3 linked regions of the Zea mays genome follow. The protein of the gene in region 1 binds, or shares a complex with, the protein of each later gene. Links are inferred from orthologs where the notes say so. Each region holds a gene or a part of one and is shown in the gene's direction. Other genes may lie near its edges. The genes, in order: pre-mRNA-splicing factor prp45, Serine/arginine-rich splicing factor SC35-like and arginine/serine-rich splicing factor SCL28 transcript II.

Region 1 (6,231 bases):
GAGTGACACGGATAAGGAAAAGGTTTCAAGGTTTCAAGTTGGTGGGTCTGCCTTCTGTAGAGAGCAACACTCCGGATCGGAAATCCGATTCAACAGATGAGCGTCCTCCGAGCAAGCGGGAAGCTCTTTTGGGAAGCAAAAAAATGGAGGATGCGGTGGAGCTGAGGAGCTCACAGGAGTTCGAAGAAAAACAGTACGAAGAGAAACTTGTATTAATGAATACAAGTGGCGGCGGCTTCAATGACCCACGGACGGAATGAATTAATATGGAGGCTTATGTGAAACTTACTAGCATTGTGTTTTGTATGGACTTGAACTTGTTTCAAATGGATTTGAACTTCTTTCTTATGGACTTGAACTTGTATAAATATCGAATATGATGCTTTTGTTATGATATATTGAATATGGTACTTGTGTTGTGATATATTGAATATTGTGCTTGTATTGTGCTGTTACTGAACTGTTATGGAGGCTTCCCATCCAGAGAGGGAGAAAAATAAAACTGGATATTAAAAAAAATTATTCAGTAAGAATGTCGGCCCACACATTCTTATATGACACAGCTAGGCTAGGGACCGTGCGCACAATAAGAATGTTTGCCATGTCACTGGCCGACACTCTTAGCATAAGAGTGCCGGTTGCGTGCTGAACCGACACTCTTAACGTAAGAGTGTCAGTCCCACACATTTATACGAATAAGAGCATCCATTTCAGGTCACCTAAGAGTGTCAGTTGGCCGACACTCTTATACTAAGAGTGTTGGCTTATTTCAGTAAGAGTGTGAGTTTTTGACCGACACTCTCTGCCTTGTTTCTTGTAGTGAAAACATGCATCGAAAAGAATAGTCCTGTAAAATCAACGCTACAACTCGATTTTCCCAGCGTAGTTAGGACCTCGGCGGCATGTCAGCTGCCAGTAGTGTACCTAAATGCCAGCGTAGTTATGATCTCGGCGCCATAGGTCACGACGCTGAGCCGTGTTATCTTGGTGGCATGGTCTATGACACCGAACAAAGGGCCCAAAAACGATATTAAACCGTTAAGAATCCAAATATGTTTTTTACAAAAAATGCTAAATTGCATAAATATCAATACCCATTGATAACAAATCCCACCATATCCATTCTAATGAATAATTATCCGTGGTTATTTATCCACACGCGTACTCCACTATCATCTCTAGTTACATATAGTAGCAAACCTCTCTGATTATCCTGCTTGATGCCATAACTAGTAGCATGGTGGACAAATACGTTGAGTACTCGACCTTTTAGACATAATTTACATGCTCTCTGAGTATCCTGTTCAATAATATGTCTGGTGGTGCATTAAACAAGTCCGATGGTTATAAAGTGTATGCGATCTCTTCTTTAAGCTCTATTGGTGTCCTATTTGGTGCACCTTATCTGATGCACATGTTTTGTTGTGCATTGCCATGATGTAATGTTTAGCTTAAAAATATTGTATAAGTTATTTAATCTTATAGTTAGTAATTAATAGATTTCTATTTATATAATTGTCTAGATGGTGGATTATTGCGTATAGATTATTTAATAATCCAAATAAATATTTAATTCATAGGAACATTCAAATATTTTTATAATTAAGTCCCCGCAATTAGGGCCAGCTCTTGGCATAGGGCCAACCCGGACGGGTAGCCGCCCTAGGCCCCCAAATCATAGGTGCTCCACATCATATAGTTAATTATATAGCTAATATGAGAGCTAATGCTGAATTAAATAATCTAATTTCCGAGTTAAGAGTTTTTAGTATGTCAATAAGATAGATTTCTATTCTATTGCTTATATAAATTATCAAGTCTTATTTATTATACCTGTCATGGTGGCATCAACTGAAATGAGTTTTTCGATATTGAAATAATTGAATAACTATTTCAGATCTACAATTTTTTGAGAACGATTGAGTGGTTTTGCCACCTATACGTTGAGAAAAATATTATATTAGATCAACACAACCATTGATGATTTTATCTCAAGAAATATTAGAAGAGGCTCGATTTTTATGTTCGCCCTAGGCCCCCAAATCTCAGCTCCGACCTTGCCTACAATCCATTGGCGGACAGCAGATACTCATTTCTTCATTTTTTAAGTTCTAGAGTATAGTATTAAAATTTTGAATATTTTAAAATGTAAAAATGAGCTACCAAACCACCGAGCGCGCAGGCCAATAGAAGCCATTTCTTGCATCGACCCATTTAGAGTTTACTGGTTTCGCTTCTGAAACGGGCCTTTACAAATTGCAAAAAGCCCACTCCAGCCCAGCCCAGCCAGTAGCCGCCTTCTCAGTCACACCCTTTATCACTTTCCCCAAATTAGAATCAAACCCTAGCTTGTCCTCCTCGTCGATTTCCCCTGACCCCCCACCAGGGCACCAGGCGACTCGCCGGAACCCTAGGTAGCCGCAGATCCTACGCGCCGTGCACGCGGCCGCCTCCATGGCGACGCTCAAGGATCTCCTACCGGCGCCCAAGACGTCAGCGTCCACCTTCTACGACCACAGCAGCGACCCCTGGTTCAAGGAGCGGTACGGTGGGGAGTCGGCGCAGGCGGCCGCGGCGACGAGGCCCGCGGCCGCCGCCCGGCCCGTGCCACCTTACGGAAAGCGGACGGGGTTCGTGCCGCGACGGCCGGAGGACTTCGGGGATGGCGGCGCCTTTCCGGAGATCCACGTCGCGCAGTATCCGCTCGGCATGGGACGCCGTGATGATAAGGGCGGATCCAAGATCCTTGCGCTCACCGTCGACGCACACGGCAGCGTCGCCTTCGACGCCGTCGTCAAGCAGGGGGAGAACGCAGGCAAGATCGTCTACTCTAAGCATAGCGACCTCGTGCCGAAGATAGCCACTGCCGATTCCCAGGCGACGTCGGACGACGACGAGGAGCAGAAGCAGATCGAGGAGACAACTGAACGGACCAAGGCCGCCTTGGAGAAGGTTGTCAACGTCCGCCTCTCTGCAGCTCAGCCCAAGAATGTGCCGACTCATGATTCTGAGTCCAAGTTCATCAAGTATAAGCCGTCACAGCAATCCGCGGCCTTCAATTCAGGTGCAAAGGAGAGGATCATTAGGATGTCAGAGATGGCGGTGGATCCTCTTGAGCCACCAAAGTTCAAGCACAAGCGTGTGCCCCGGGCGTCTGGGTCACCACCTGTACCAGTGATGCACTCGCCGCCACGGCCAGTTACAGTGAAGGACCAGCAGGATTGGAAGATCCCACCTTGTATTTCAAATTGGAAAAATCCAAAGGGTTACACGATTCCGCTTGATAAGAGGTTGGCGGCTGATGGGAGGGGTCTGCAGGAGGTGCAGATCAATGATAACTTTGCAAAGCTTTCTGAAGCATTGTACGTGGCAGAGCAGAAGGCGAGGGAGGCAGTGCAGATGCGCTCCAAGGTTCAGAGGGAACTTATGCTGAAGGAGAAGGAGAGAAAGGAGCAAGAGCTAAGGGCACTTGCACAGAGGGCACGTATGGAGAGGACTGGTGCCCCACCTGCACCATCAGGTGTGCCTGCTGGTGGTGGCAGGGGAGCAATTCAGGATGTTGATGAAGTTATGGATATGGAGCAACCGCGTGAACCACGGGAATCACGTGAGCAGCGCAGGGAGTCTAGAGAAGAGAGGGAAGGAAGGATTGAGCGTGATAGAATCCGTGAGGAGCGCAGACGCGAGAGGGAGAGGGAGAGGAGGCTTGAAGCCAAGGATGCTGCAATGGGCAAGAAGAGTAAGATCACAAGGGACAGGGATCGTGATATCAGTGAGAAGATTGCTCTTGGTATGGCAAGCACTGGTGGTGCAAAAGGTGGTGAGGTTATGTATGACCAGCGTCTGTTCAACCAGGACAAGGGAATGGACTCTGGTTTTGCCACAGATGATCAGTACAATATCTACTCTAAGGGTCTCTTCACAGCGCAGTCCACGATGTCCACGCTATACAGGCCTAAGAAGGATGGGGATTCTGATGTATATGGTGATGCAGATGAACAGTTGGAGAAGGTTATGAAGACTGAGAGGTTCAAGCCTGACAAGGGATTTACTGGTGCTTCAGAGAGGACTGGCAAGCGAGACAGGCCTGTGGAGTTCGATAAGCAGGAAGAAAATGATCCATTTGGTCTGGATCAGTTCTTGACTGAGGTGAAGAAGGGTAAGAAAGCTGTGGAGAAGATTGGAGGTGGAGGAACCATGAAGGCGAGTGGTGGGTCCTCAATGAGGGATGATTATGATGGTGGATCTGGGAGGTCCCGCATCAACTTTGAAAGGGGGCGCTGAGGTATTTGCTCTGCTTCTGCAGGTTTGGAATGCTTTCTCAAATATCTTCTAGCAGAATGTCATAAGAAGCTGAACTCTGATAAGAAAGAGCATGGCTCCTGTGCTGTTATAGCTCATGTGCCTACTTTCAGTGGTTGTGCTTAAGAGTGTACTATATGGATCCTATGATGTCTATGTACTATGCGTGTATCTGTTCATTATAGGAGCTATGAGCTTCGTTTATCCATGTTCCATCAATTGTTACGAACTTACGATACATGTTATTGGGCTCTATTATTTCATCAGTTATCATTTTGGGATATGGATGGACTCAACGTGGCTATTTGTTGCCATGGTTGCTGCACATGTGCTCATTCTGTTTATGAATTTCTTGGTGGTGCCTATTAGATTATTTCTTTCTGCTTTTTATTGCGGGGATGTATTCATGGTTTACTGTTGTACTCAATAAGATTTTGCTGTGTCATGCGAACTGTGGTTATCTGTGACTCCATTTCCTAGTTCAGTGTGCTTGGTTTGAGTGGAGTCTCAGTCATGCTCTAGTTTTTGGTTGACATTAGTTTTCAGTTTTTCTGCAGTGTCCTTAACTTACCTATATCCAGTTTTTACCCTGTGAACTTGTGATACTTCAAGGTAGCTTTTATTGAATTTTAGTTATTTTCTGCCCTTATAAATATTGGGATCCTGGTTTGTTCTAATTCTCATGTAAACATTTGTTCATTTTACAAAGAAGCAAACCTTTATAGGGCAATTTTTGTTTTTTGTTTTTGATGCAGAGCTGTATCAAGTTGGTCGATCTATATTTATTGTTAAAGTTTCATGAGTTTCTTTAAAAGAGATTTAAAATTTCCTGATAATTGAGCACATATATGCAATGAATGCATGGCCGATTGCTATAACTACCGTGGACATTGCTTTGCTGTTTGCATGAGCAACAGATGATTGAAACTGGGGCAAAACGTACTTTGCTTACTGCTATCTTGTAGTAGAGTATATATGTTTCTGTGCACGCTTGCAATCAGAGATTTGATGACAGTTCCAAATTTACTGAAGCAGTATGCACACATGTTTTCTTTCCCCCACACACGGACACACCTATGATAATAATGCGGTACTAACAATTGGCTCAGAGGCTCCACCTTATGAACATTAAGACACCGTTTGGTTCAACACGTTGCCTTTTTTTTCAGTTTTACAAGCAACTTTATCAGTGAAGTTAAAGTTGATTAGCGAACCGTTTGCAAAACAGGCATACAGCTCAGTTTTTTAGTTTTACGAGCAACTTTCTCAGTGAAGTTAAAAGCTGTTTTGGTGAATCATTTGCAAGACAGCTTTGTATGTACATTTGTTCTTACAGAATCTTACAGGACCGATGAGTGTGTTTTGAAGCTGTGAAAAAGCTATTGTTTTCAGCTTCACGATATTCTATTCCTATGTGAGATCATGATTTAGGCTTCGGCATATTCTTTTCCTATGTGAGATCATGATTTAGGTTTCGTTTGGCTCACAGGACCGACGGGTGTGTGATGAAGCTGTGATAAGCTATTATTTCTAGCATCATCATATTCTATTTCTGTGTGAGATGATGAGTCAGATTTCGTTTGGCACACTTTCACTTTACTAGCGAAGCCGTTTTTTCTTTCTCCAACTTTGTGTTTTCTTCTTCAACGTCATGAATAACTTCGTGGAGTTAAAACAGTTTTGGTAAACCGTTTGATAAAACCATTTCACATGTAGCAGTTTGCATTGCAAAACGATATTCTGCACGTCTATATTTATTTGTTTGGTTAACTCTCAATCTATGTGAATGGAGTGGGATTGGGTGGGTTTAAATCCCAAACAAGTCAAAGTTTTTCTAAATTTTTTCTAATCTAATCCAATTTATATATAATGGGAATAACTAAACAAGTCCTTGCTGGGGCTGAGGGAGCAGCCAGCCCACAGAAAGCT
Region 2 (6,393 bases), on another chromosome or scaffold:
TCCCCTCCGTGCAACCCTGCACGGTCTCGACGCCTGCGGGCTACAGCTCTGGCCCAGGCATGGCACGCCAGCCTGCTGACCATGTCGGGCTGACCCGTTAGCCCGTCGGACCATTTGGTTAAATTAGCGTAAAATGTTAAAATACGGTGCAGGAGGTAGGGTTCGAACCTACATCCTGATAGAAGAAGGGCAGAAGACACTGGGTGAAGTCGTCTAACAAATATAACAACATGCTTATGTGTGGTTAATATTGAATATAAATTATACATATGTATATATGATTTTTTTGTAAAATAAAAATATAATCGTGCGGGCCGAGCCAGCACTACGGGCCGAGGCTACGACCCAAGCACGACACGACGCTCGTGTCGGGCTGGCCCAGACACTATTAAATGGGTCGTGCCTCGGGCCGACCCACTAGACATGGCCCATTTAGCCATCTATACCTCCGCACGATAATGATGGTCCCCGCCTCAGTTGCCGCCACCTTGTTCGTCGTCCTATTTCTTTTCCCTCTCCCCTCATGCCTCCGCCTCCGCCTCCGCGCCACCCCATTCTCGACACAGGGCGTGAGAGCAGGTGCCTCCTCCCCATATTCATCTGACACCAGCCTTGACACCGACCCGCGCAGTGGCTATTGCACGTCCATGAGGACGTTTCACAACACGCCCACACCATCGTTTTCGCTGTCGTCGGACGTCCTGTTCGTCTTCCCGGTCTTCGCCCTGTTCTTCCTCCCCAACCTGCTGCCCCTGCCCACATTCACAGCCGCGAGCCGACTAACGTTTGTTGACGCGGGTACGGTGCGAGTCGGTCTTGTCTTCAATTTGCTTTTGCTACTCCTGTGCTCATGCTTATATAAAGAGAATTAGTTTAAAGTGGTGTGTTAGACATTTAATCACCAAAGCAACTAAAAATTGTCTAAGGACACATTTCCCTTTTAGGCTTTTTGATTTGGAAACAAGGAGGGACGCGGTAGACCTATTCCAATTTTCTAGGAGGAGACCCTTCCATGTCAATTTTTAGTTGAGGGGATAGAGATGTTCTTAATTTATGTTTGGCGCGAGGGATGGAAAGTGCGGAGATCCGTCAGGAAACTGTCAAGTAGGATCTGTAGGTCCTCCTATGTGACTATCTTCTTTGTTTCTCCGCATGGCTGCATTTGTGCTCAACATCCCGCCTCCCTTGGCCACATCCACCTCGCCCGATGCCCTGACGATATGGTTTACAATTTCATTTTTACTGTTCAAAATTTCTATTTTGACCAAAATTTGACTTTTATATATTTTTTGAATTTGGAACTGAAATATATAATTTTTCGAACCGAAATTTCAATTTTGTATAGCACTAAAAACGAAAAAACTACAAAATCTGCTAAATTTCAGCCAAAATTGCTAACCTTGCCTGACAACCTTATGGTCTTTATCTTGGTCCTTCCTCCACCATCGCCCCTACGTCTACGTCCTTAGCAATCGTACTCTCCATTTTATTCCTTTTTGAAAGCTTTCTTCATTGGCCAATACCAAAAATTAGTGAGGCCATGTTTGAAAGCTTAGTATCTTTACATTTTTAAGGCAATAATATGATATTGAATGATACTATGGTATTGGAAGCTAAAATATGTTTGATTTTACTAGTAAAACATAATTTCAATTACCATGATCTACCTAAAACTATAGTATTTTATAGTTTTGGAAACTCCACACATGTCTCGTGTCCACCCCATACCGCACTGTTATATCAGCACGTGCTAGGGAGCAAATACTAAACAATCCTCAAAATTTTTGAAAACCGTGATTTTAGTGTGGTTTTGAAAACCGCAGTACTTTTGTCATGAACAAATGTAAACCATAGTATTTCAAAATTGTAGTATCTAAAAACTTTGCTACCAATACACCCTGAATTGTATAGTAGATGTTTGAGTACAAGGGCCTATTTGGAAGTGAAGTATTTTTTTTACTTTTTAGTGAATATTATGGTTTTTTATGTTATAAGGTGTTTGGTTACATTTATGAAAACTATATTTTTGAAACCATGGTATTTGAAAAGCTGACCAAAATTATAATATTATCATTGCAAAGTATAATTATACGGAAAAACAAGAAACAACAAAATACTTCACTCTCCAAAGAGAGTCAGAGTCAGGCCAATTTGATGTGAAACAAATGAGCCTGTTTGGTTAGGACCTCCCAGACACTTGACTACCATACAAGGAATCATAGCTCTACTCAAAATCCAAATATCCAATGCATAATGTATTAATGCATGGGGCTGTTTGGTTCGTGCCTAAATGTGCCACACTTTGTCTAAGGTTAGTCGTTCGAATTGAAGAACTAACCTTAGACACAAAAGTTAGGCAAAGTGTGACAACTTAGGCATCAAACCAAACAGACCTATAATCTATGCCTCGGCCAGGCAATTTCGGCTCCAAACCAAACAAAAAAGCAGGAGTGCCTGACCACTGGCTAAAAGTTCGTATGCAAGGGGCCCACTTGTCGCACCGTGCCGCGTGCGTGCAAGCCTAGAAGACTCGGCAGCTTTTGCGGCCCCGTTCTCTTCCCCATCCCCTCTTCCCTCTCTAGCCTTCCACCCTTCATCCACCAGCCGCTCCTCGAGCACCCCCGTCCCGCGCCGCCTCCGGCTCCGGCGAGATGTCACGCTTCGGTCGATCCGGCCCGCCGCCGCCGATCCGCGACACGTACTCACTCCTCGTCCTCAACATCACCTTCCGTGAGTTCCCCTCTTCCCCGCTTCTGTTTCCGTTCTCCAGATTCCAGCTACCCTACGGGCTTTGAATTGGCGCCTCATCTGTGTTTGGGTGCCTCGCAGGCACAACTGCTGATGACCTCTTCCCTCTCTTCGACAAGTACGGCGAGATTGTCGACATCTACATCCCAAGGGACCGCCGGTGAGCGCGAGTCGAACAGGCTAAGGATGTTTCTATCTACGATTCGAGAGTTTTGCTTGCGTGCGATGGCTGAGTACCTGGTGTAGAATATGGAATTAGGGATCGACGCTCGTGTGCGTGTGTGCGATAACACCGATTTGCGAGTGCTCATCTAGGGTTATGGTTGTAGGACTGGTGACTCGCGCGGATTCGCGTTCGTGAGGTACAAGTACGAGGACGAGGCACAGAAGGCAGTTGAAAGGCTCGATGGTGAGTTTAGTTTGAGGTTCTCGCCTCTGTAGAAATCAGTGTGCTCCATGTGTGGTTTTAGATTGTATGTTGTTCAACTGTGCTGCGTTTTATTTGCAGGGAGATTGGTAGACGGGAGGGAGATCATGGTGCAGTTTGCCAAGTACGGCCCAAATGCTGAACGGATGTAAGACATCAGTTTTGTTCTCTGTGCTGTGTTTGTTCTTGAGATCTTCAATGATTAACCTAGTTCATGAGATCTTCAATGACTATTCTAGTTCTTACTTGCCATTTTAAATCCTAAATGCAGTTCTTATCGTATATTTGTTGGATAGGTACGTTAGGCAGTAGTGAGACCTTTTGCCATGTACCTCAGTACAATACTGTGTTAGAGCAAAGAGACAACACTAGTTTGTATAACACTCATAATGCTATATATATAAATGCTGTTTTAGTTTGAACCTCTGTATGGGTTTACTTGTTTTGGATTTTAATAATCAGGTATAACGTACAATTTATTTAGTCATGTTGGTTCCTTGTGCAATATTACAGCCACTTATGCTGCCACAGCATTTCTTGGTTTATCTTTATTTATTTATTTTTCTTTCATTTTGTCTTCTATGTTGGTAATTCACTAACAAGAACACAGTAAACTGCGGTTTCATTTTAGTATATCATACTTATTAAGGCGTCGCTAAAGTGTCGCTTAAGCGTTAAGGTGCGCGTAGATGGCAAGGCGTCCTGCTCGCCTTGCCCGCGGACGTAAGACGCGGTGCGGCGGTGGAGGTTGCAGGCATGCGGCGGGATGGGGAGCCGCTGGCGCCGCAGCCGAGCGTGAGTGGGGGAGGGGGCAGAAGATGGAGAACACACAGAGCACTGCATCGGCGGCGGCTGCTGTGTGGCTGTGGTGGAACCTCGGTTTGTGCTGAGTTAATGGGCTTCTAGATGGGTCACCAAATAAAAGTCCATACCATTCTTTTTTTCCTTTTTCTTTTCCACTTCTTTTTTTTCTTTCTAACATCCTTTGACAGTTTATAATTCAAAAAAAATTACTGGATTCTTTGAGTTCTGTATGTTAGGGACCCATTAAAGTGTTTTAGGACCTAATTTTGAGTGCAAACACCTCATCTTAACTCTATATTTTCCTATATTTATATATGAGTAAGGCGTCACCTCGCCTCGCCTTACGTCTTTCCGCTTAAAAGGTGAAAAGGGGATTGCTTGCCTTAACTCGCCTTATTGCCTTAATAACTATGATAAATATGACATGTCCTATTTTTTCATGTAAAAAAGTTTTTAGGGCCACATGATGAGCAGAATAAATTAGTTAAATCATCATATGTGATGTCTCTTAGGAACACACCGAGCATCCACAACTTTTCCTTTAATTGCTTTCACAGGAAAGCATCCTAGTGTGAGTTTCTCAAATATCTACTGTTGTAGCGTTAATTTCTCTGCTTTTATCGTCCATACTGAATCCTTGCATCTTTCACAGTAATAAAGGGAGAATAGTGGAGCCAGTTCCAAGACCAGGGGGGCGTTCCAGGAGTCACAGTCCAAGACGGAGGTATAGCAGCGCCATCATTTTCTGAATGTTATATGGACATGTTTTTTCTGTTCTTCAAAATTTATAGAAAAGTGATACCCACCACTGTATTTTAACTTCACTAAGACTGTCTCCAGTAGATAGGGTAAAATAGAGAACGCAGAACTGTAGATGACACTGTTTGCAAAGTGGAGTTTGAAATAAGGGATAAGATGGGTCCACGGTTATTTAGAACTATTTCTAAGCAAAGGGCTAATCGGAGAACAGTATTGGACGCTCTTTCCAATCACAGCTGGATTTCGGATATTCAGGGGGGTCTTTCAGTGGGTGTTATCAACGAGTACCTCCTCCTATGGGATTTATTAGATTTGGTTCAGCTAAGACCTCATGTGGATGACAAGCATTTCTTTCGCCTTGCTGCCAATGGAAAATATTCTTCCAAGGAAGCTTATAGGGGTTTCTTTATTGGGTCAATTGAGTTTGAGCCTTTTCATATAATATGGAAGACTTGGGCTCCTCCGAAATCTAAGTTTTTCATGTGGCTGGTCGCTCACAAGAGGGTGTGGACAGCTGATAGGTTGCAAAGAAGAGGTATGGATCATCCGGAGAGATGTCCATTATGTGATCAGGATCAGGAAACCTTAAATCATATGTTGCTGGGCTGCGTTTTTGCTAGAGAATTTTGGTTCAAGCTGGTTCTTCTTGTTAATCTACAACACTTGGCCCATCAGTCCTGTGAAGGGGTTTTTATGGATTGATGGCAAGATTTGAGCACCAAGATTCCTGGGATTGCAAGAAATGGTCTTAATTCTCTTGTCATTCTTGGTGTTTGGACCCTTTGGAAGCATCGCAATGGCTGCGTTTTTGACAATAAGAGTCCTAGTGTTGCTGTTGCTATTAAAAGTGTTGGTTTGGAGATTGATCTTTGGGTTATGGCTGGTGCAAAGAAGCTGTCTTTGCTTACTGCCCCCATCCCAGGTCTCCCTGTTAGCTAGATAGTTGTAGTGCTGTTTTGGTAGCCATGTTTTTGTCATGGATGGTTTCATTTATGCTTGTTATTGGCCGCCGTAGGGCAGCCTTTTTTGTACCATGTATCTTGGGGTCCTTTTGGACCTTTATCTCCTTCTTAATATATTTTCGCGCAGCTCTCTTGCGCTTTCGAGAAAAAAAAATAAGGGATAAGATATGGGATGAGATAGGGGATCTATTGGAGATAGCCAAAATTGTAAAATTGGGTAGTTTGTGTGTTGGTGGCGTGTACCATTGATTGGTAAGTGTCAACTGTGAATGCACTTGTCACGTGCAGCACCTGTGCGCAAAAGTCATACTCCCTCTGTTCATAGATTTATGACACCATTGACTTTTTTTAAAACTTTGACCACTCGTCTTATTCAAAAAAATAATGAGTTATCATTTATTTTTTATGATTTGTTTTATCATTTAAGGTAGTTTGTGCTTAACGTAAAATTTTACATTTTGAATAAATATTTTGAATAAGACGATTTGTCAAAGTTTTTGAAAAAGTCAACGGTGTCATATATTTGTGAACGGAGTTATTATTTCATTTTCAGAATTAGGTATAGCTTTGTTAACCCTTGTCTCATTTCCACAGTGAAGGTGAATTAAGCTGTATTCCTAAAATGGGCTGTGAATTTGTGATTTTCTGCTGTTTATGATCAAGCCTATTCAAATCTTGTTCTGTTCGTTTTCT
Region 3 (6,292 bases), on another chromosome or scaffold:
CATTATTCTCGAACTGAATGGTACAAGCTGACAACTATTTTGACTCTTCACCAAAAAAAAAATCTACACTGACCTATAGGAGCCACAGCACTTTGATAAGCTCCACCACAACTGCAAAAAATGCTAGAGTAAGAGCCGATTACAAGCCAGCAATAACATTAAAATTGTCTCATCTCCAAAATCTTCTGCTGGAAGGCATTTCAGCACTTGAAGACAGCACCCACAAAAAAAATGCCTTGATGAACGCATGTCTTGGGGGAGCCAAGGAAACATAACATCATTCGCAAGGCAATTGATTGCTACTGGTTGCTGACCAAAATATTATCCAGTTGGTGGGAGTAAAGATACATTGCTTGTGCACGGCTTCTCGGCAAGTACGGTGCAAGCAAATGTGCCTATTTCAAATCCAACCTTGAACATTATATTCAGGACCAGCAACACATCGTCCAATCGCCCAGAGGTGCTCAACGACTCCACCAAGTAATCAAATGTCTGTCTTTGGGGTCTTATGTTGTCCTTCAACATACCTGCCAACCATGCCATGCCCTCATCAGACAGATTGATCTTACAAAAGCCACTGATGATGTGATCGTTTGTCCACACCGGTGGCTCCAAGCCCTTGGTCCGCATCGACTTGATCAGGTCTACTGCAGCATGCACCTGTCCGTTCTCACACATGGCACATATAAGACGACCGAAGGTTGACGATGTTGGCTCCAAACCAGATGATAGCAACCACTCGTACATCCGCATCGCCAAGTCCAACTTCCCAGCTTTGAATAGGCCATTGATCAATGTGTCGTACGTGATCACATCATGCTTGATTCCCTTGATGGACATTTCCTCGAACACCTCAAGTGCGTCGTACACCCTCCCATGAACACAGAATCCTTTGATGAGAATGTTACAGCTAACAGTAGTCTGCTTGAACCCCTTCTCAAGCATTTCATCATATACCTTGCGGGCCTTGTCGAGATCACCAACTCTGCAATAGTAAGTGACAAGGGAGCAGTAGGCATACTCATTGGGGGCGATGCCCCTGCCCACCATCTCATCCCACATCTGCTGTGCAACTCCAATCAGCCGCATTTCGCATAACCCATGGATCACCGTGGTATATGTAACTCCGTCAATGTCATAGCCACGCTGCTTGATCTCTCTGAACACACGCAGGGCCTCTCCACCCATCCTCCGCCTGAAGAGCCCGTGTATGACCCGCTGGTAGATCACCTTGTCCGGGGTGCACCCGGTGGCAATCATGAGGTGCAGCGTGTCGGAGACCTTGCCGAAGTTGCCCTCGGCTGCGAAGGCGCCGATGAGGTCAGCAACTGCGTCGGCGGGCGGAGGGGACCCACGGCGCGCGGCGTCGCGGAGGAGGCCGAGGCCGTCGAGGGGGCGGCCCTCGGCGGCGTAGGCCCGGGCGAGGCAGCCGACGGTAGTGGCATTGCCGGGGAATTCTGGCGAGGAAGAGAAGGCGGAGAAGAAGCGGAAGACGAGGTCTGGGCGGGCCGCGCGGAGTGCGGAACAGGACGCGACATTGAAGGCACGGAGGGAAAGGTGGATGCGGAGGTAAGAGCTGAGGAGCTCGGCGACGTCTGCGGCGAGGTGCGGTGGGAGGCGGAGGAGGAACTTGTCGACCCCGGGCAGCGGAGGGGAGACGTTCACCGGGGCGGTGTCAGGGGCGGGGCCGGGGAGGTGTGGAGACAGAGCGCGTAGGAAGCGGAGCGATGGAGCCACGGCCGGAAGAAGGCAGGAGAGCGTGAGGCGAGCAAAGTCTGGATGGAGGAGGACGGCGCGGGGGACCAAGGAGAGGAGGCGGGGCTCGAGCCGCGGCGTGCGGAGGGCGGCGGCCGCGGCGAGGGCAGCAGCGTTTGAGATCGTGGACGAAGTCGGAGCGCCGGCGGGATCGGATGCCGTGGCGGAGCATAAGTGCCTGGCGAAACGGAGTCGAGGCGGGGGCATGGCGGTGCCGGCCGGGCGGCGGCGGCAGAGCTGACGCAAGAGGCGGGGTAGACTGTTGGAGGCGGTCTGAAGTCTGCGGTGCGCGCAAAGTTTGGTCGTGGGCCGTCGGCAAAAAGGCCCATGGGGCTTTCAATTTAGCGGGTGCTCCCATCTTTCGTTAGGATAAGAGGAACCCTAGTCCCTAGCAACGCCTACAGCGTCACGGAACACCGGCGAACCAAACCTCGGAGAAACCCTAGCAAGGCCGCTTGCCCCTCTCAGGCGCGACACAGCATCGGCGACTAGCGATGACAGGATATCGCAGCCGCAGTCCGAGCCGAAGCTACAGCCCACGGAGGCGGTACAGCCGGAGCCCTCCTAGGCGCAAGCGCTACGACGATCCACGCGACCGCTACCGCTGGGCCGGGGCCGGCGGAGGCGGGGACCGACGTGGTTACGGTCGGCCGTTGGCGCAGTCCGGTCTCCTCATCCGTAATATCTCCCTCACAGCCAGGTGAATTATCGCTGTACCCCATACATGTGGCTGCAGTTCTGTCTCGTATGACCTATGGATAACGGGCGTGGCGCCATCTGGTTTGGTCAATGTCAAGAGCCGTTAATTCTGTGATTTTTTTTGTCTGCTGCATGCAATTATATATTGTCGATTCGATTGTATGCTCAATCCTCTACCCATCTGATCGGCCTCTAATGTGTTATTTGATGGTTGTTAAATGCTATGCACAAAATAAAAGCAAACATTGAAGCTTGTTTTCAGCATTTGATATTTGCACGTAACTGTGTTTTAATTTTTCACATGGTGATTAATTGTTTGGTGGTTTGCACGCTAACAAATGTTTGATTGTAAAATGTGCTGCAACGGGATATTTAACAATTGATGTTTACTGGAAGATGTGTGCATGAATAACTGATGGAACTGCTTATCAGAATTTCTTATGAAAAAAGATAAGTTCATCTGTCATGGCAAACACATTGGGTTTTGAAGACATTCACTAAATGGGTTGATGGTGTGCATCCTTAGTCTTCTCAAAGCAGATTTGTATATCAATGTCATATATCCTTTATAGAGTGGATCGATCATGTTTAAGCCATTGTCTAGTCTTTGACAAACCTAGAGTCGGTCTGGGTTTCTATTCAATGTCTTGGTATGAGAGTTTGCCAATCACTTTAGATCATTATGAAAATATATGACTCGTTTGTTTAGGAAGTTGGTGGTCATGGTTATTTGTACTCAAGGAGCATTGGCTCTTTCACATCAAATAATCCAATCCTCTCATGTCAGATAAAAATTTGGATGTTTCTGCATCTTATTGCCACTGTATGACCCTTACGGTTTGATGGACTTTTTAACCTTGCAAACAGTTCCAGTCTATTTCAACTGCCAATAAAATGTTATAGTAAGTTGCTGCAAAGTAATCATTATGATATACCTATGTTATGTATTATTGTGATGCAGTCTGTTTTTGTGCCCTCGGATGGCTTTACAATGTAGTTAACTGATTTTGTTCTGTTATTGGATTTTCGTTGTCTGCAGGCCAGAAGATATTCGAGCTACATTTGAGCAATTCGGCCCTATCAAGGATGTTTACCTGCCAAGGAATTTCCACACGAGGTAATAATTGCTTTCTAAAGTTTTTTTTTGCCTTATGTCAAACTTCAGTTCAACCTCATGCCAACCCTGCCTTAGACTGCTTTCAACGGTTCCCGCCGACCTCCCCTACCCCTGTAGCCGTTTAGGCCAGGGGGTTCAAATCCCTACAACGGTGCCCCCTTTGAACTCCTCTACACGCTACAGTTTAAGTGGAGGCTACAGGAAACAAACAGATGTGGGGGGTGCGGCAGTGAGCCCCCTGCCCTCGGTTTACGTGTGCGGCAGTGTTTTTTAGTTGGGAAAAAATGATAATAGATGGTGAATAGGTATGAAAAATGATATTTTATGATTATAGTGGGGTATAGGGGAAGGATTTAGGGGGAACCGCTGTACAGGGTGGAGATATAGGGGGAAAGAGAACGCTGACGTGGCACGTGAGTGGGATATAGGGGGAGAAATTTAGGGGGAACCGCTGAACACAGTCTTAAGTAAGTGGTGTTTGGATTATGTGCAAGTCAACAATTTCAACTTTGATTAGATGTTACTTTTTATGAATTGCTTTATATTTCTTGGGTTTGAATATTAAAAAATGATATCGGTAGATTTGTCTTGAAGTAGTCACATAAAAATATACTTAGTATAATTTACAAGCATTGAAATGTGTTTTGGGTATTATGTTGTTGTCCAAACGACACTTATTTATGTCCGGAGGGAGTATGTGCATAGCTGGCAAACAAAGTTTTTTGAACACTGAAAAAGCGCTTAGATGAATTAAGTTGCACACCAATAATAAGGAGACCGATACACTGTTGCTTGAGTGGTCATTCCGGTGTTCATTCCAAGACATTATATTTGTTTCATCCATTTGGACATATGTGATAATGTGATAGAAATGTCAAATGGCCTGGAATTATCTCATTAAAAATTATGGTTCTTTTGGCAATAAAAAGAATCATGTTTAATATGAGGGCAAACTTTTGTTTTATCTATTCCCTGTTTTTGATAAATAGTTTCTAAGTGTATTTACCGGTTCTTTATTAAATTTGGATTGGAATGAACAGCCAGCTGTTGGAACATGGAGTATATTTGTTGAATTACAATGATTTTTTCCCTTCTTAATCCTTGGTTGAATTGGTCAATTTTACAGGGAACTTCGTGGTTTTGGATTTGTCAAATTCCGCTACCCTGAGGATGCTGCAGTTGCCAAGCGTGAGATGCATCATCAAGTCATTGGTGGGCGAGAAATTTCAATAGTTTATGCTGAGGAGAATCGAAAAACGCCACAAGAAATGCGCATGAGAACAAGAACTAGGTTCATTATTTGTTTCTTTATCCTTTGCCATGTGCTCTAGGTTGTCCTTAGCAACACTGTAGTAAACTTATACTTGAAGTAATGAAAAGAAATAAATCCGTGCTTTCATTGATGTAGTGGTAGGTACATGGATGAAAGATACACAAGACTGTCAAGATCTCCAAGGTCTCGTTCCCACTGTAAGTGTGAAGCGATTTACAAAAATTAAATGTTGCATTCTTTTGTTTTGTAAGTAAACGCTATCACTTTTCTGGCAGCTTATTCACCACCGCCTTCTCCAGTTAGGCGTGACTTCAGGTTTGAACTCAATTTTTTATTTCAAATAGACTAGTATCTTGAATTGTTGGTTGTTCTTCAATCCTATATGTTCTTTGAATGCCTCTGCTATTTTCAATTTTTAGGAGCAGTTGCATTTCTTTCCAGTTCATATGGATATAATTTTATCATGATCAAACCATTAGAAGGATGTGCCAAAGTGGTTGCATTGTTCCAAGTATACTGTTTAATTTTTCATGAACAATATTTTCATAACATGGTAATCATGGTTTTTAAAGTGGTAAGGCGAGACAAGGCGTTGGACCACCGCCTGGACGCCTAGGCGTCACCTTAAGAACAGTGATGGTAATTTTAGAACTTGTTGCTTTTATTAAAATCGGCAGTTGGAGTTGCATACTTGTGATTGCGTCAATGTTCAAAATATTATATATGCTAGAAGCAAGGGTGGATATTTAATGTATTCACAATGTATTTATTACTTGTTTATTATACCCCTTTTATGATTTAAAGGTAATACACCATAAGAAAAAGGGCAAACCCAGTGTGGGTGGCTCCCACATGAGTGGGGTTTGGGGAATGGATAAACCGAGGCAAGCCTTCCCCCGCAAATGAGGAGAGGCTGCTTAGTGAGTCAGTGAGACAACTCTCACCATCACACCTGGCCTGCCCTTCTAGATATATAATGCTCCATCCATCCCTAAATAAATCAACTTCTAGAGTTATCTTAAATCAAACTTTTGTAAGATTGACCAGCTTAATAGGAAAGAATATCAACACCTATGGCACCAATTAAGTAGACTATGAAAGTATATTACATGGTATATCTAAAAAATGATCTAGTTTTGTCATATTTCTCTATAAAATTTGGTCAAACTTACATGACTTAGGGCAATTCTAGAATTTGATTTATTTGGGAACTGAGGCAGTAGGTAGGTGTCAAATGGGTTTGTTTATCTCATTGCTGTCATCAATATAAATGAGGATCAAGCCTCTATTCTTGTCAAATAAATTGGAACTTCAGTTCCTCGTTACGTCTTGTTGAGTTCTCCAAATATATATCATAGTTTGATTGCTAAAATGTTAATCTCCCTGTATGGTTATTTTTCAATATTATATCCTTAGACTTGCTCACAAAGAAGTACTTTCAAGACTGA

Evidence for each region.
Region 2: pre-mRNA-splicing factor prp45 (region 1) and Serine/arginine-rich splicing factor SC35-like share a complex: the UniProt entries of both Arabidopsis thaliana proteins name them as parts of the spliceosome. The link is inferred for Zea mays from reciprocal best matches to the Arabidopsis thaliana genes SKIP and SC35.
Region 3: pre-mRNA-splicing factor prp45 (region 1) and arginine/serine-rich splicing factor SCL28 transcript II share a complex: the UniProt entries of both Arabidopsis thaliana proteins name them as parts of the spliceosome. The link is inferred for Zea mays from reciprocal best matches to the Arabidopsis thaliana genes SKIP and SCL28.

What each region holds. Positions count from the first base shown.
Region 1 is NC_050099.1:184,591,065-184,597,295, forward strand, and holds pre-mRNA-splicing factor prp45, read left to right. Parts: upstream 1-2,329; 5' UTR 2,330-2,454; coding exon 2,455-4,284; 3' UTR 4,285-4,627; downstream 4,628-6,231. UniProt on the Arabidopsis thaliana protein: Splicing factor involved in post-transcriptional regulation of circadian clock and flowering time genes. Associates with the pre-mRNA of PRR7, PRR9, ELF3 and GI, and is necessary for the regulation of their alternative splicing and mRNA maturation.
Region 2 is NC_050102.1:175,816,630-175,823,022, forward strand, and holds the start of Serine/arginine-rich splicing factor SC35-like, read left to right. Parts: upstream 1-2,590; 5' UTR 2,591-2,651; coding exon 2,652-2,730; intron 2,731-2,829; coding exon 2,830-2,908; intron 2,909-3,077; coding exon 3,078-3,157; intron 3,158-3,256; coding exon 3,257-3,323; intron 3,324-4,631; coding exon 4,632-4,703; intron 4,704-6,393. UniProt on the Arabidopsis thaliana protein: Probably involved in intron recognition and spliceosome assembly, but not involved in alternative splicing regulation of the SCL33 intron.
Region 3 is NC_050096.1:63,177,583-63,183,874, forward strand, and holds the start of arginine/serine-rich splicing factor SCL28 transcript II, read left to right. Parts: upstream 1-2,164; 5' UTR 2,165-2,249; coding exon 2,250-2,455; intron 2,456-3,493; coding exon 3,494-3,571; intron 3,572-4,697; coding exon 4,698-4,862; intron 4,863-4,979; coding exon 4,980-5,041; intron 5,042-5,119; coding exon 5,120-5,159; intron 5,160-5,416; exon of another isoform or gene 5,417-5,483; intron 5,484-6,292. Other genes in the region: uncharacterized protein LOC100280902, read right to left, coding at 322-1,962. UniProt on the Arabidopsis thaliana protein: Involved in intron recognition and spliceosome assembly. Probably active at the 5' splice sites.